Cricetulus griseus: one gene and its partners. The protein of the gene in region 3 interacts with the protein of the main gene of each other region in a pairwise test. Links are inferred from orthologs where the notes say so. Each region holds a gene or a part of one and is shown on either strand. Other genes may lie near its edges.

What was found.
Region 1: the proteins of keratin, type I cytoskeletal 40 (region 3) and Dlgap2 interact in a two-hybrid assay, tested with the Homo sapiens proteins (2 studies listed by BioGRID). The link is inferred for Cricetulus griseus from reciprocal best matches to the Homo sapiens genes KRT40 and DLGAP2.
Region 2: the proteins of keratin, type I cytoskeletal 40 (region 3) and Mta1 interact in binary tests that used the Homo sapiens proteins (3 or more experiments, as listed by UniProt). The two-hybrid records come from large-scale screens. The link is inferred for Cricetulus griseus from reciprocal best matches to the Homo sapiens genes KRT40 and MTA1.
Region 4: the proteins of keratin, type I cytoskeletal 40 (region 3) and Shfl interact in binary tests that used the Homo sapiens proteins (3 or more experiments, as listed by UniProt). The two-hybrid records come from large-scale screens. The link is inferred for Cricetulus griseus from reciprocal best matches to the Homo sapiens genes KRT40 and SHFL.

Annotation. Positions count from the first base shown.
Region 1 is NW_023276807.1:66,276,303-66,280,319, reverse strand, and holds the start of Dlgap2 (disks large-associated protein 2), read left to right. Parts: upstream 1-1,208; coding exon 1,209-1,249; intron 1,250-4,017.
Region 2 is NC_048598.1:180,939,059-180,943,208, forward strand, and holds the start of Mta1 (metastasis-associated protein MTA1), read right to left. Parts: upstream 2,810-4,150; 5' UTR 2,748-2,809; coding exon 2,655-2,747; intron 1-2,654. UniProt on the Homo sapiens protein: Transcriptional coregulator which can act as both a transcriptional corepressor and coactivator. Acts as a component of the histone deacetylase NuRD complex which participates in the remodeling of chromatin.
Region 3 is NC_048600.1:113,049,062-113,053,123, reverse strand, and holds the start of keratin, type I cytoskeletal 40, read right to left. Parts: upstream 2,810-4,062; coding exon 2,363-2,809; intron 1,095-2,362; coding exon 1,012-1,094; intron 712-1,011; coding exon 555-711; intron 1-554. UniProt on the Homo sapiens protein: May play a role in late hair differentiation.
Region 4 is NC_048597.1:133,744,043-133,748,313, reverse strand, and holds the start of Shfl (shiftless antiviral inhibitor of ribosomal frameshifting protein), read right to left. Parts: upstream 2,810-4,271; coding exon 2,789-2,809; intron 2,403-2,788; coding exon 2,279-2,402; intron 2,142-2,278; coding exon 2,092-2,141; intron 685-2,091; coding exon 646-684; intron 521-645; coding exon 371-520; intron 1-370.

The DNA of each region.
Region 1 (4,017 bases), on a different chromosome or scaffold from region 3:
CCTCTAGAAGTTTGAGGAATGAATGATAGAATAAATGCCCAAGGACTCAGGGCCTTTCTCAGAATATTGCAATAATCAACCCTTCCTATGGCTACTCTAAACCCGTGGCCCAAAATACAGAATGATAAGCTGCCCTTGATTTAACTCCAACACTCTAAACTCCCTCTCAGCAGTGCCCCCTAGACTCTCTCACACCATATTAGCCTTCCTTCTTTATAGGCCACTTCCTCCATGGCCTTTACTTCTGGAGTGAGCTACTTCCTGATAAGTCCTTCCTTCAGACATATAAACTGCTTAATTCTCAAGACATGGTCCACCTACCACCTCCTCAGGACATACCCCCCATGCTGTCCAGTGTCCCCACACATGCCCTTTGTGGCAATGTTCCTTGTTGGACTGTGGCCCTTCCTCTGTTATAAGACCTTCAGTGATTGAGAAAATCAAGGCATGTTAAGACCCAATGAGAGGATGGACCAAAGAGACAGTGAGAAAAAAAACAAAAGGACCTGGCCTTTTGGTATCACCTGAGTAGCTGCCTCCAATGGTGACACTGGGGTTCGCAGGAACAGAGTAGCAACGGGAGCTTCCTTCCAAGGTGAGACGTAAGTGGAACTTTGTTTTCTCCTTTCGTCATTCTCTATATGTAGAGACAACCCAGCACATCAGCACTTACTGCAACATCTACAATGGACTTCACAGAGCTCCCTACACTTTTGCAACCCAGCCTTTTCATTTAATCTCACAATGAGTTTTGAATTCCGCATTGTTGCTGTTATTTCACAGATGGGAAACTTGGGGTTTAGTGGGCTAAGGAATTTACTCAGTATGTAAATAAGCTTGTTCATGACATGAATAACTTTGTACCTATCTCTGAAAACTTTGAGTATCTACTGTGGTCCAAGCCATCCTCATACAGCCACCTTACAGTGGCATCCTATGTTTAGGATAGTCTGTTTGACATTCTAACACAGCCCCTCAGCTGGGCTGAATCCTCAAAGTAGGGTCTTTAGACCAGCTCTGCTACCACATGAATTCCTTAGATGGACAACAATCCCTCAATTAGAAACCAGGGTGGTAACTAATGACCAGAAACTACTGTCTTAGTGAGATGGGTGGTAGACATGTCACTGGGAGCATGGACCTCCACCTGTGCTGTGAAACTGAAAAGTCTTCATTTATCAGGACTATGCTGGAATTTGGGTACCACCATGAAGTACTACAAGAAATACACAGAATTTCAGAACGTGAGGTACTGCATGTGTTGTGTGAGGTATTATAAGAACATGCCTGGCCCCAGCACCCATGTGTTAGGGAGAGGTACCATGTTTCATTGCTGGGGAGTTGAAGGGAGGGCATTCTGGGCAAAGGGTCTGGAGACAGCTAGTGACCTCGAGGATGAATGTGGTTTTTCAGTCATGTGAGGTTGAGCGTGTAGCATTGTGGTGGGTGCAGGGCTATTCCAAGCAATCAGGGTACAGAGACAGAGGAGAAGCTATGCAAGGTCAGAGGAGCCTCAGCCAGAGGGAGGACACTTCTTCCTCGTCATGTGAGGGGCAATTCGCCGTGTGTCCCCAAAGATAGCTTGAGAGCAGTGCAGACCATAATGAAATTTACTTGTCTAACTGGGTTATTGGTAGGGTCAATCCAATTCCTCTACACACAAGTGACAAAATTGAGCGTGTGCCAGTGTGTTCATGGGTTGCTTTGAAAATCGTTATGAATTCTAAATGAAGCACCCAGGAATTAAGTGGATTACTCTTGACTGAAGTCATTTGCAAACTGAATTTGGTGACAACTTAACAAAATGTCTCTCGGGTCCCTTCAAAGAGGTGAGTGTAATTTGGTCTGTGCCAGAGTCAGCATCCACCCAGACTGGTACTCCATCCAGGCTGAGAGAAGGCCTCTTCAGAGTTGCAGAAGTTCTGAAAATACTGCCTTTCCATGTAATCAGAGAATTTGTGAGGGTCCCAGGGGGCACAGCCGTGAAAATGAGCTGTCATCAGCTATTCTCATTAGAATATGCAATTGCATATTAGCAAAATGTGTTTGGAATAATAACCAGCAGGCATTTCAACATGCTCCAAAACTGTAAGGCATCAGGCAAGAATTATGTCTTTTTTTAAAAAAATGGGAGAAAACCTCTCATTAGATAGTTCACTTTGATTTCAGTCTCCATAGTAACTGGATATTCAGATACATGCAGATATTTTTGTCTTTGGAAGTTTTGCATGTCTTGGAATTTGGACATGTGCACAGACAAAAAGCCAGATGTGATGTACAGCCCATGAGGTGGCAATTAGAGAAGCCAGTGCCGGGCAATGGAGCTCTCGCTGTTGAACGGCAAATTCAGAACCTTGACACGGGATGAAAACCCTGCAGACTTCATGAGAGTAGTCTTCATACTGAGCAGTTGTGCCTGCATATGTATGTGCCTTGTGTCCATGTGACAAGGACATCTGAGTCCATGGCAAGGTCCCAGTTGGGCCCACCCCTGATTTCAGTGAGCTTTGATTTCTTCCATGAAGTTGTGATTTTTCTTCTTTGACCCTGCTCAAACCTGCTGCCCTTGTGTAAGTTTGCAGAGCTGGAGTTTGCCTTGCCTTCAGAAGTAATTCCTTAATCTGGATGATGTGAGGCTGCACAGAGAAAAGGTCCTCAAAGCCAGGACAGGATGTGGACCAGAAATCCCAATGGTACAATAAACAGCCTTGGAGTGTGTACTGGGTGGTTTTGTGTGTCAGCTTGACACAAGCTAGAGTCATCAGTGGAAGGAGCCTTGGTTGAGGAAATGCCTCAGTGAGATCCGATTATAAAGACATTTTCTCATTTAATCATCAAGTGGGGGAGGACCCAGCCCATGGTGGTTGGTGCCATCCCTGGACTTCTGCTCCTGGGCTCTATAAGAAGGTGGCCTGAGCAAGCTGTGAGAGCAAGCCAGTACTCTGCCATCTCACCTCTGAAGACTATCTTTTAATGAAAGAAGTATGTGGGGTATGTTCCATGAGTTACTTCTCTGAGCCACCATGTTGCCAGCTGAACTATACCCTGGTAAGAATGGCGGTAGCCCTTCCAGGATCACAAATGGAGATGGTCCTTTGTCTCCTCCATCAAGATGCCCTCAGCAGAGCTATTCAGAATCCACCGTGGTGTCTCTCTGCTTCTGGCAAGTAGAGGACCCTGGAGATGGTAGTTTCAAAACAGGAGATGGTGGTTTCAGAAGTGCCTGGTTTAATAGTAGAAACCATTCCTTTAGAAGTTGCCAGCATTGCTAGTCATGATGCTCTATCCCTGTAGTCCCAGCACTTAAGAGGTTAGAACAGGAGAGACATAACTTTGAGGCCAACCTACGCTACATTTTTTTTAATGGAAAAAGGGTGACAAATTATATTTTAAAAAATCTTCACTATTTTTTAGTAAATTGATTATTTTAAGTAGTATAAAAATGCCCCTAGAGGAAGGAAGATGACTCAATGGCTCAGTGGCTCAGTGCTGCCCTTTCGGCACATACCTAATAACCTGAGTTCAATTCCTAGAACCTGTGTGAAGGTGGAAGGAGCAAACTTACTCTACAAAGTTGTCCTCTGGTCTCCACATAGATCCTATGGCATGCAAGTCATACATATGCACACATGCATGCACATACACAAAAAACCAACAATCATCATAATAAAAAGCTTTTAAAGAAAAATGCATATAAAGAAATACAAATTGTTTTCATTAAGAAATGAAAATGGATGGGTGGTAGAGGTGCACACCTTTAATCCCAGCACTCAGAAGGCTGAGGCAAGCAGATCTCTATGAGTTCAAGGCCAGCCTGGTCTACAAAGCGAGTTCCAGGATAGCCAGAGATATTTACAGAGAAACCCTGTCTCGAATAATAAAACCAAAATAAAACAAACAAAAAAGGAAGATGAAAATGGGGAACTAGATAGATGGCTCAGCAGTTAAGAGCACTGGCTGCTCTTCCAGAGGACCTGGGTTCAGTTCCCAACACTTGCATTGCATCTACAAACATAG
Region 2 (4,150 bases), on a different chromosome or scaffold from region 3:
CCCTCACTGTCCCCTGTCCATAGACCTGCTCAGGCTTGGTACTGTCTCTCCCTTCCTGAGCCCTGGATTCTGTCCCCTGCACTAGCTGTCCCCTTTTCCTCCTAGCCCCATTTCCACGTATTAGGCATTAATCTTGCTTAGCCTCAGGAGTTTCTCATCACTGAAGGCACTTGTCTTTGCTCTGTAGCAGGGACCTGAGGCAATTTCATGTGTGTTGAACTTGCTAGCTGTGGATGGAAGCCAGGGACATCAAGTGAGTTCATGGTGCCTTGTTAATCTCAAGTACTGAAGGGCGAAACCTAGAGGACCTCTCACAGACTGTGGAGATCAGAGGTACTGTCTACCGTAGACATCCATACTACAGGGGTCCATGGCAATGGCCAAAACGGAAGCCTGGATAGGAGCCCCATCCCAGTAACAGAGGTCTGACACTGAGAGACAGAGAGGCTGGTCTACACCTGGGAATCTGAGACTGCCAGCCCAGCTCACAACTCCCTACTACTTGACTTGTCCTTGGCACTTGGCTTTGAGACACCTAGGCTACAATGTCACTCAAAATGATGGGGCTGACACAGCTCCCATGTGCTGGGCCAGTGGACACCCTCTGGTGGCTGCTCACTGCAGCTGGGATACTCCTCTACAAACCTGTTTGTTCATGTCCAAGTCTGTGTAACTGAAATGTGTAAATGAGAGCCTGTTGGTCCACACCTATAGTAGCTGGTAGAGTTCCAGCTACCCAACCTACTATCTTGCCTATTGACAACTGTGGCCAGAGCCAACCATGGGGCACCTGTCTAGGATCTGGTCCCAGTGAGTACATCAGAGGAAACACTAGTGCCCACCTAGGCCATGACAGGCCTCAGGTCTCTAGAAGCTACCTGTATGCTCGGACCAATTCATCTTCCCAAAACATCCCCAGATGTGTGCACAAGCACACACGTGTGTGCACACACACGCACGCTCATACAGAGCTTATCCCCGGCTGTAGAAGACGCTGCTGTAGCAGCACACCGCCTTGGCACAGCCTGGCAACATGGGTTCCAAGGAGCTGGTAAGGCCAGACCTAGAAGCTGGGGCTACACCTAAGCCTCCATCTAGAGCCACCTGCAGGGCTGGTCCGGTCTCAACATGGCCACCTGCGGGGTAGCATCCAACCTTGCCCTCTCTGTCCCATTTGATCCCAAGAATCCCAAGCCACCATTCCAACAAGCCTGAGTCTAGGAGAGCAGCCCTTCTCACTGGTCTATGGTACTCAAGAAGGCTATGGAGGCCCTGTCACCACCCAGCCTGGCAGGAAAGAGTGTCTACAAAGACACAGGTCTGGGAATTTGGTCGGTCCTGCTCTCTGCCTGGCACTAGAGGAAGCAGAGCAGGGATAGGCCTGCCTACCCCAGCCTCTAATCACGTGGGACTTTAGAGCCAAGAGTGGGCAGGCCACATTTGAGGCTCACAGTAGGGATATGGCCATGAGATCCTTGAGACCCAGAAGGGACAAGAAGGTTCCTGGTATGCTTGCTATGTGACTGTGCTGACCTGAGACCACCTCACTCTCCAAAGAGCCAAAAGGTCACTCCAAGCAGAGTAGAATGGAGCCGAGTTTTTGGAATCCATGCATCCATTTCTCCACACTCCTAGCCACCACCCTAGGTGGTGTGTGACTATCCCAGGGTTCTAGCAATGGAACAACCATGCCCCCAGACCAAGGATTCAGTGTCTGCCAAGGATTCCCAGCAGACACAAACTATGGCAGAAGCAGCGACTGGGGTAAGACACCAATAGGACCCCAGGGTATAAATACTGCACACACCCTCAACACTGTAATGGACAGAGTAGACAACTTTGCAGTGTTCATGGTAGTCCTATAGCCAGGAAGCCACCTAGGCTAATGGAAATGGGAAGAGAATGAGGAGAGAGAGAGTGTGGATGAGTGGCACAGAGGGCCACTGCCCTTGGTCTGTGACTAGTCTCCAGAACCATCCAGATCCCTCTGAGTCCTGATGTGCTCAAGTCCATGAGGGAACCTGCCTTAGACAGACCAGTACTTGTTGGGAGATGGGGTGCCGGAACTGGTGACGCCTCAAGGTAGCCCCACGTTTGTCCTCAAGAAGCCTAGGCAGGCTGGGCGGTGGTGGGACACTCCTCTATCCCAGCACTCGGGAGGCAGAGGCAGGCAGATCTCTGTGAGTTCGAGGCCAGCCTGGTCTACAGGGTGAGTTTCAGGACAGGCTCCAAAGCTACAGAGAAATCCTACCTTGAAAAAAACAAAACAAATAAACAAAGCAAGCCTAGGCATGGGCTGGAGAAATGACTCAGTGGTTAGGAGCATGGGATGTTCTTCCAGGGTTTGTTTTAGATTCCCAGCACCCACATGGCAGCTCACAATAACTCTACCCAGTTCCAGGGGATCCAATACCTTCTTCCAGCCTCCTTAAGCATGGATATACACGCAGACAAAACACCCACACACATCAAAAAAATAAAATTAAAAAAAAAAAAAAAAAAAAGAAGCCTAGACATGGCCACAGGGACTCACTCCCAGCCTCCCCTGGAAGGACATCAAAACCCAGGTAGGAAGACCCTGCCCACCCACAACAGGGAGGCTCCACCCCTCCCTGCCAGGGTCAGGCAGCAGCATCACTGTGTCGAGCTCTTACCTTATTGAGCTCTTCAATCCTGCGGATCAGGTACGGGTTGCTGGAGGAGTTCTCAAAGTAGACATAGTCTGCAACAGAGAGGTCATCATGCATAGCACCAGGGCTCTAAGCCATCCCCACCATTCTCAGAATCCCTAAGAACTGGCTGTGAGCCTCAAGCAGACCCTCTAAGCCCTAGTCCCACTCTGCTAGGGGTCAGAGGGCTGGGGAATAGAGGAGGCAAAGCCTCTTCTATTGGATGGACAGAACCCATCCAGAGGGGTGCTGGGCCAGATCACAGCTGGTGATGGGATTGAGGGGCTGTCCTGGGATTGGCCTGCAGTCCTCAAACATCCAATGTTAGCTGCCTTCAGGAGCACAAGGCTTAGTGGGAAGGCTGGGGGGGGGGGACTAACTTCAGCTTCCCCATAAAGCCCAATTCCAAATATCCCGAGGCCCCTGCTCAAAACTACTGGACAACGCTCCAAGTAGCTGCTGCAGGCAAGAACAGTGTGTCTACCATTCGCCACCACAGGCCAGGCTCCACAGATAGACACGGAGACTTTCAAAGCTGGCAGACCCAGCCTGGACAGCTCAGATCACCCTACTACCACAATGCTCCAGCAGTCCCAGGGCAGACGGTATGCTGGACTGTCTACTGCCAGGCTGGCAGAAGTCCTTGGCACTGAACCCCTCCTTAGTGGAGCTGACTGGAAGGTTCCTCCTATTGAAATGGGCAGAGGCAGCAACTGCAGTTCTCTGTCCCCATGTGGGCATGCACTTGCAGGCCTGTCACTGCGTTGCTTCCTGAGCCTGTGCCACCCAGCAGCAGGCCAGCCACAACCTTACAACTCCAGCAGTTAGTGCACAGAGGTTCACACCAGGGTGAAGGGTCACCTGGAAAAGCAAGGCCCACAGGAAGGAAAGTGTACGGTAACAGTACTGGAACAATCTCTGGGCTTAGATTTGGGACTCTCCTGGGGCCCCTGTGAAAACACCCTGATGAATTCCATCAATGTGGATCATTTCTTAATAAAACTAGTTTTTTTTTTGTTTTTTTTTTTTTTAAAGGCATCCAAAAGCACTGGTGGTTCAGTGGTAGAATTCTGCCTGCCGCACGGGAGGCCCCAGGTTCAATTCCCAGCCAATGCAGAAATGTACTTTGAGTTGGGCGGTGGTGGTGCACACCTTTGATCCCAGCATTCAGGAGGCAGAGGCAGGTGGATCTCTGTGAGTTTGAGGCCAGCCTGGTCTACAGAGTGAGTACCAGACAGCCAGAGCTATATGGAAAAATCCTATCTCAAAAAACAAAAAAATTTTAAAAGGAAAAAGATATCTACAATCTAAACTTCCATGATCACAAATCAAATTAAGGCCCAAACCCCAAATTATTCATACTTGCCAAAAACTGAAATAAAATCCAATGTCTCCCAAGTAGAGAACAAGCAAACAAGCAGAGATGAGAGGCACACAGATATCCTGGAGCAGGGGATGGTGGGCACTGGTCTGGGGTGGGG
Region 3 (4,062 bases):
TTATTGTGAAACAGGGAAGAGTTAGACAATAAATTTATAAAATTCTTGAGAAATGCTAAGGTATCTGTAATTGTCAGCTGTTACTACCATCAAAATATGCAAAGAATACATTTTTGTTTTACTTTATTATGTAACTCTGCATTTCATTCTTAAGCTTATAATAGAAACAAGATTATAAATGTACAATATCTAAAAAATATTACTCCTAATATTGCATGACTATTTATTCCTTTTTTGGAAGTGGATACAGCTCTATTTTCTTGTTGTACAGTAGAGCTACAGAAATAGCCATTAGTGGAGTTAATTCTTCACCCAAGCAATGGCAGGAGGGAGAGTGGCCTCACCCTGGCACTTGGGGCGGGTGATGTTATGCAACAATACACACTGTATGTCACATCTACCTTGAGAGACACTGGGATGCTCAAACCACACAGTGGGCCTGCCTCTGGTTTTGTTCCAGCTTAGTCAGTGTCTGCCCTGGTTCAGTTTATACCCATGAAATCTCTCGGTAGAACTCTCCCTATAGTCCTTGGCACAGTGGCCACTTCACTTACCTCTTCGTGGCTTTTCTTAAGGCAAAGGAGATCACTTTTCAGGGACTCCACGTGGGCCTCCAGATCTGACTTGCACAGGGTCAGTTCACCCAGGATCCCACGAAGGCCACCGATGTCATTCTCCACCAGCTGGCGAAGAGACAGTTCACTCTCATACCTTTCACAGCAAGAGAAAGAAAAGGGAGTGTGTTACTTGGCTAAACACTGACCAAAGTGCCGGGGTACAAGGATGAGTGACATGTGGCCTCCAGGGAGACACATGTCACAATTCCCCGGGTATCCCAAATGATGGTGAATTCAAGTTTCAAACATTCTAAATTAAAAAAAAAAGATCTCATGCAGAGAATTCTCTATCACTGGAGGCCATTATTATTTTCAAATTAAATTTAAGATTTAGAATGCAATTTGTATACATAAAATACAATGTGGTTTAAAAAATAAATACAATTTGACTTACTTTGACCTAAAATCATCAGCAGCCAGTTTGCAGTTGTCCACCTGTACGGCAAGTCTAGAATTCTCTGCCTTCGTGCACAGTATCTAAGAGGCAAGTCATTATGTAATCAACAGCTCTTTGGAAGAAACCCACATTTCTGTTTTAACAGTCTGCCATTCATTAGCTTAACAAAATTAGCATAACATAATTTTCAGCCTATAACTATACCATGGAGAAAAAAGGAGACATGCAGTGCCAATTTAGAAACAAAATACAGACATAAAAATAGGTTCTCTTTCTAAAAAAAGATTTTATCTTTTTTCCAATTGTGTGTGAGAGTGTGTATGTATTTGATCTCTCTCTCTCTCTCTCTCTCTCTCTCTCTCTCTCTCTCTCTCTCTCTCTGACTCTGTGTGTGTGTGTGTGTAGACTTGTTCTTTGCCTTAGGATGCCAGAAGAGAGTGTCAGGTCCTCGGGAGATGAACTTATAGGTGGTTGTGAACTGCCATATATGGGTATTGGGAACTGAACTCAGGTTGCTCATGAGCGCTACAGTGCTGCTATCCACTGCTGAGTCATTTCTGCATCTCAAGGTTTCCTTTATAAGTGACACAAGGCAGGACATTTGGCAGTCATCATTGACAGCTGAGCTTTGTTAGTTTTCTCCACTGCTAATATTTATTAGAGTTGCATCTCTGTCTGTGGTCATAGAAATTCATCAATGAAAAAAGAAAGAAGGCTTTGTCAGTAGAGCATTTGCAATACAAGTAGGAGGACCCAGGTTCAAACCGTAGAACTCATGTATAGAAAGCTAAGTATAGCAGTGTGTGCCTGTTACCCCTGCAAGGGGAGACAGAGACAGCAGTATCCCTGGGACTCTCTGGCCAGCCACCCAGTGAGTCAAATCAGTGAGCCCCAGGTCCCTTGAGAGACTCTGTCTCAAAACACAAGGCGGGGAGTGGAAGACGCTTGCCATTGACCTCAGGCCTCATTGACAGCATGTATTCCCTCTCTACATGCACACGAAAGGAAAATGATTACCAGGTGAACTAAAAGAGATGGCATTTGATGTCTGTTTGATAAGGAATATAAATAAGTAATGATACATGCAGAACAGATTTTAGATATCATAATTCAGATTCCCCCTCTCTGTAGATGACATAGTCTACACACAGACATGACATTTCTATGGTCAATAGTGCTGATACTGAGACAGATTTCTTGCCATCTATGGCCCTCTTTTCCTGGCAGCATACCAGCTCTGGGAATCCCTCCTCCCTGGTTTTACATCCATAAAACAACCCGCGCCACTGTAAATATAAGAGAATTCTGAAACAGGAAACAGAGAACATTAGGGAATGAGACACACAACCTTTTGCTGGAGTTCTTCAATGGTGTCGAAGTAACGCTGATAATCTGGGCACACCAATGGGGCATCGGGCTCGCATTGCTCTCGGATCCTGCATTCGAGCTCCGCATTGTTCTCCTCCAGGCTTCTCACCCTTTCCAGGTAGCTGGCCAGTCTGTCATTCAGGAACTGCATCGTCTCCTTCTCATTGCTGTTGAACGCCCCTTCCTCGCACCATGCACAGCTCCCCACCAGGCACGGACTGTTACAACCGCCAGCGAAGTAGCAGGGTGAGAGGCGACCGGCTGAGAGGTGAGCCCTGCAGAGGAAGCTCGGGGTCTGACATCTGGATGTGGCACAGGTACTGGGCAGGCAAGTTGTATCGGTGGGACAGGGTGAGGCAGCCGCACAGTCCGGAGCCTCTGCACAGGGCTCAGAGGAGCAGCACCCAGGGGAGCCATCAGAAGCCATCTTCTGTGAAGGAATGAACAGACCGGATGCTGTAGTGCCGAGGTCTTGTCTCCAAACATCTCCTTCCCCCCCTGAGACCTTTATATCACCCTTCAAATGGGTGTTTACAGGCCACACCGATGTTTCCTCTAGCACCGCGGGTGCTAGTTTTCCTACAAACATCTCATTAGTGTTGCTTATTTACCGAGGAAGTTTTATGCCTCGTAAAAGGAGGATAAGTTCAGGTTACTAAATCAGGACGACTGTCATTTCCACGTGTTGCTTGGATAAAATCCTTATTTTAGCGAATAGCCATAGGAAACATTATCCCGTTGAAAGAATAAGGAACCCAAGAGAAAATCTGAGCCATTGGTAATCATAGGTAGAGCTCATTAGAGATACAGAAAGTAATATTTCCATAGGTTTTGATTTTGAAAATCGATTGCTCTTGTCTACTTTAAAAGTGGACACCACAGCTCATTAAATTGCATGTATTTGTTTGTGCTACCAGCCACCACAATGATAGTTAGCAATCGTGAAGGGCATGCATGCCTGCGTGTGTGCGTGCGTGCGTGCGTGCGTGCGTGTGGTGTGTGTGTGTGTGTGTGTGTGTGTGTGTGTGTGTCCTTGAAGCCTGTGCTTACATGGTAAAGAGAAAGGTGTATATACTGAGTGTAAAGCACGTGAGATCATTTTATACAACAATGAGAATAAGTTGTGTCCTGTGAGCCAAGACAGAAAGTGGTTGTCAAGATCTGAATTGTGGTCTTTGGTTATCTCAAACATTCTATCGCTAGCCAAACAGTGATCATGACCACCCCTGCTTAGTTTTTGAGATTGGATATGCTCAGAGTGGATGGTCATACACATAAGCTTTGCCTTCTCGTATTTCCATGTTAGATTCCTTATGCTACTTTTAAAAAGCTGTTATCATTCATTTATTTTGGTGTTGAGGCTCAGACATAAGGTATTGTGTTATTCTTTTGTTTAAAAAGAAGAAAAGAGAAATATTGAGACAGACATATTGACTTAAGACTATAAGTTTATTATAAGGCCCGGTAGAATGGAATGGGGAGACTAAGAGGGACAGGGTAATGGCTGACCGCCATGGCCGGTCGCCATAGAGAGACAGCGGGGAAACAGAGAGAGGGGACAGAGAGCAGGAACAGGGGGAGAGAGAGAGAGCGCGCGAGCGTAAAGGGGCAGAGAGAGAGAGAGAGAAAGGTGCAGGGGCCTATCTTTTAAAGGGGTCCTCTGCACCTGCGTGCAGACTT
Region 4 (4,271 bases), on a different chromosome or scaffold from region 3:
CAGCAACCACATGGTGCCCTCTTCTGGTGTGCAGATATACATGGAAGCAGAATGTTGTATACATAATAAATAAATCTCTCTCTCTAAAAAAAAAAAGATGGAGGGCAACTGAGAAAGAAAGATACCACCACCAAACTCTGGCCTCCACATGCACACTCATGCTTGCATGCATACAGGCAGGCACAAGCTGGCGCGTGAACACACACACACACACACACACACATACACACACACACACACACACACACACAAATGAATGCATGAATGAACACACACATGCAGCTGATGACCTTCAGTCATAAAAATAATTTCTGGACACAGACAACAGGAGTGGAGTACAGGAGGGAATCCAGTAAGTCTGGGGTACCACCTCCTTCCTCTGGGGCACACGGCGCCACCACACGTGGTCACAGGAGGAGCAGGCAAACTGTCGGTCCACGGCAGGGATGAGGTCGTCTTGGGCTCTTTGGAACATTCGAAGATTGGCTTTTGTCAGGGGCAACAGAGAGGTGGCCACTGCCTGAAACATGGATGAATGGGGACAAAACAGGGTCACCTCTGCCTGTGGAGCCCACAGCGACCATCCTTACTGCTATATACCTTGGACAGTTATCCATCCTGCCTCATCCCAGCCAAAAAACACACCTGGATATCTCGGTCTTGCTTCATGTCCTCGGGTGGGTCCTGAGGGGAGACACGGAAAAGGAGTACAGAGACTGGAAAGGCTCTATCTAGGAGTCCTATACCCATGTTGAATGGGGGAGAAGCCCCTGCATGGGGCTCCTGGACTTCAGACAGAGATGAAACATTATTGCCTGTGTTGACAGATAGAGCCAGTGCCTACAATGAATGAAGTCCCAAAGATCCTTAAGAAGCAAATACTTGGCTAGTCTCATTTCCCAGAATCTGAACCCACTCAGTGATCGTGGCCCATGGAACCCAGAGCCCTGGATGACCTTTCAATCTGCAGAGGCCACACATGTGACACCTGGCCACTGAAGCCACATAGCTTTTAAAGATTAAAAAGTTTAAAAATGTGTATGTCTGTGTACATGTACATATGTGTAGTGCCCATAGAGGCCAGAAGAGGGTGTCAGATACCCCTGGAACTGGAGTGGTTGTGAACTGTCCCATGTAGGTGCTGAGAATGGAATTAGGGTCCCCTGTGAGAGCAGCAAGTGCTCTCAACAGCTGAGGTATCTCTCAGCTCCTTGGCCACATGGCTTTAAAAGGCTCCAGTTTGGGGGCTTGCAACCGGTTGGCTGCTCTATTGCTCCCAGATGGGGATGGTGGGCAAGTCCCTCTCTTTGAGGGTTCTCACAGAAGGGCCTCTCAGAGCCCGAGCTTCATTGCAAATGGCTAGAATTTGAATCCCTGAAGTCAAATGCTGGTCCCCAGAACTTGGTGAAATGTCATGAGCCTGAGCTTTCTTGTGTAATAGGATTGCCTCCCGGAAGCAGAAGAAAGGGATATGAAATGAACCAAGGCCTGGAGGTTTGCCCCTCAGGCTCTCTCCATGAAGGCAACTTCCTTCTATTATTAATTTGTCATATTCCTTATAGACCTAAACCAAAGGAATATGATTTGTCAGATTCTTTTAGGTGCCCAGCATGGTGGTGCACGCCTTTGATTCCCAGTGCTTGGGAGGCAGAGGCAGGTGGATCTCTGTGAGTTCAAAGCCAGCTTGGCCTGTAAAGTGAGTTTCAGGACAGTCCAGGGCTACATAGTGAGACCCTGTCTCAAAAAAACAAAACAAAACAAAACTTTGGCAAGCCTTTCAAGCAAGTTCAGCACACAGGGTACAGCCACAGAAGTGATTCTATGAATTTATCCCTTCTCCTCCATTGGGACCTCTTTCCCCCCCAGGCCAGCCCAGCCTTTCTTCTAGTGAAAGGTAGAATTAGTTTCCTTGAGCCTTCCTCAACAGCCAGGACCTCCTTATCCGACTGTCCTGTCTCCTCCTCCATCTGAGGCAATCAGCACATAATGAGCGCCTACTGTTTGCAGGCTGCTTCGGACAAGGAAGGAACTTAGATAGCAAGATGGGCTCTCACAGTATCTCTCTTTGAGGAGAGAGGGAGTTCAGGTTACCTGAGCGTCCAAATCGTTGCTCAGCTCCTGTCCATCTTTCTGCTTGACACCTAGTGGGGAAATATGGGAAGGGCTCTTGAAGGGTGAGTAGGAGTTCCAGGTGGTGGAGAGCCTCCTGTCAAGGGGAGCCAGGGTCGCTACAGCGAGCGACAACCACACCCACGCAGTACCCCCTGGGCGGACTCACCATACACGATAGAGCGCCCTACTCCGGTGTGGTCGCTGCCAAACTTCCTCATAAGAGCCCCTGCCTTCTTGGGGGACACTTTTCCATGAAACTTCTCCCGGAGGCGCCTGACGCTCTTCTCCAACTGGGATGGAGGGGAGGTGAGCGCTGGTGTGGGGGACGACTGGGGAGCGGCGCCCGCCCCTCATTCTCCTGAACTTGACCCCGGCTTCTGGCCTCCGCACCCTCTCCCCTCCCCCTCCCTTTAAGCCATTTCCTGGAAAAATCCAAAGTTCTCCAGGCATTGGGGGATGGTGCAGACTGCGGCGGGTGCCAGCCTGCCGGGTGCGAATTTGCGGTCTGGCGTGCGTGCGTGTGAGCCGGGATGCAGGCCAGGTCACCCCCTTTCCTTCTAACCTCTGACCCTGCAGCCCCGCTACGGCCGGGACGGAGGGGGAGGCGGCCCAGGGGGTCGGGGTGTCCCCGGAGCCCTCCCCGCGCGGCCTGTCTCGGGTGGCGCGACTGTCCTACCTCCACGCCGTCCTGAGCCATGGTGGCCGGTGCGCACCTGGCCGCGCCCGGGTCCGGGCCCCGCAGGGCTGGGTGGCGTCGGCGCGGCTCCGCCTCCCTCGGTCCCCTCTTTCGGTTTCGTTTCTGCGCGAAGCTGGGGACCCCGCGGGGACCCCGCCCCGGCCGTGCGGCTGCGTGTCTGCTCGCGCGCCCCGCGGTGCTCCCGGGGCGGTGCTCCCGGCCTCAGCGCGCGCCTCCCCGCGTCCTGCGCAGCAGCGCGGCCGGGCCGGGGATGCAGCGCGCGGCCTCTGCAGTCGGTCACATGTCCCCACGCTGCGCGGGGTCCGCGTCTTCACGTCCCCCGTGGGGGCGGGGCCGCACCGCGCGCGGACGCGGGTCTCGGTGCTCCCACGCTGCTCCTCCTAGACCGCGGGCGAGCTTTGCTCTACTCAGAGGCTCCTACCCGCAGCATCTTTTCCCCCTAGCTCCCTCCAGCCAGTCTCAGTTTCCTCCTCTGTAAAATGGGCACGCAAGCCAGGCTTGGCGACACACACTGGTCACCTCAGCATTTGGAAAGTGGGGGCAGGAGAAGCAAGAGTTCAAGGCTGTCCTGGGCTACATGGACCCTGTTTCAAAAAGAAAGGAAAAAAAAAAAAAAGAAAAGAGGAAAATATCCCAGGACAAAATGAGAGAACTTTTTTTGGGGCAACTTTCATGAACTTCTTGAGCGGTGAATGGGCCCTAGATTTAAGAGGCCTGCCTGCCTGGGTTTTCCTTGCTGCGACCCTCTTTCTTGCCCTTTTTGGTACAGGGGTTGGGTTTCTCACTTTGACCCAGGAGCACTCAAAGCTTGGTTTCCTTCACTAATCAGGGTGGATAGCACAAGTGCAGATAATGGTGGTATAATGGTGAACCGGAAACCAACACCAGAGGGAAGTGGAAACTATCTTCCCACCCCCCCTCCTCTTTCCAGGGCCCTGTAGTTTCAAGGCGGCTCCCTTAATCCAGGCTCCCCTGGACTTTGTATGTCACTGTCTCCCCCTGCCTCTACATTCTGAATTCTGGGGTCACAGATGTGTACCTAGGGTCTCACAGCATAGCCCAGGCTGGCCTTGAATGTGGTTTGGTGGCCCTTCAGCCTCAGTCTCCCCAGTACTGAGATTACAGATGTGAGCCTCCATGTTTGGTCTTCCAGGGGGACTTAATGGCACTCAGCACAATGTGGGACATAGATAATGCACCAATCATCGGGTGACCTTTGGAGTTTCATGCAGGTTGGAGGCAGAGTAAGGATGTGAAGAAAACACACTCTTGGTCCCTAACACCTTGTACTTCTGGCTCATGGGAATACACATTGCAAATTTAAAGGCTAATAACCATGTGGGCAGTGTGTGTGAGACCCTGGTTTCCCCCCGGGCCTGGAAGGAACACCTCCACATGGATCGGCATCAATAAATTATATTGAAATATTACAGCTATTATGGGGAAATGGGCTAGAATTTCC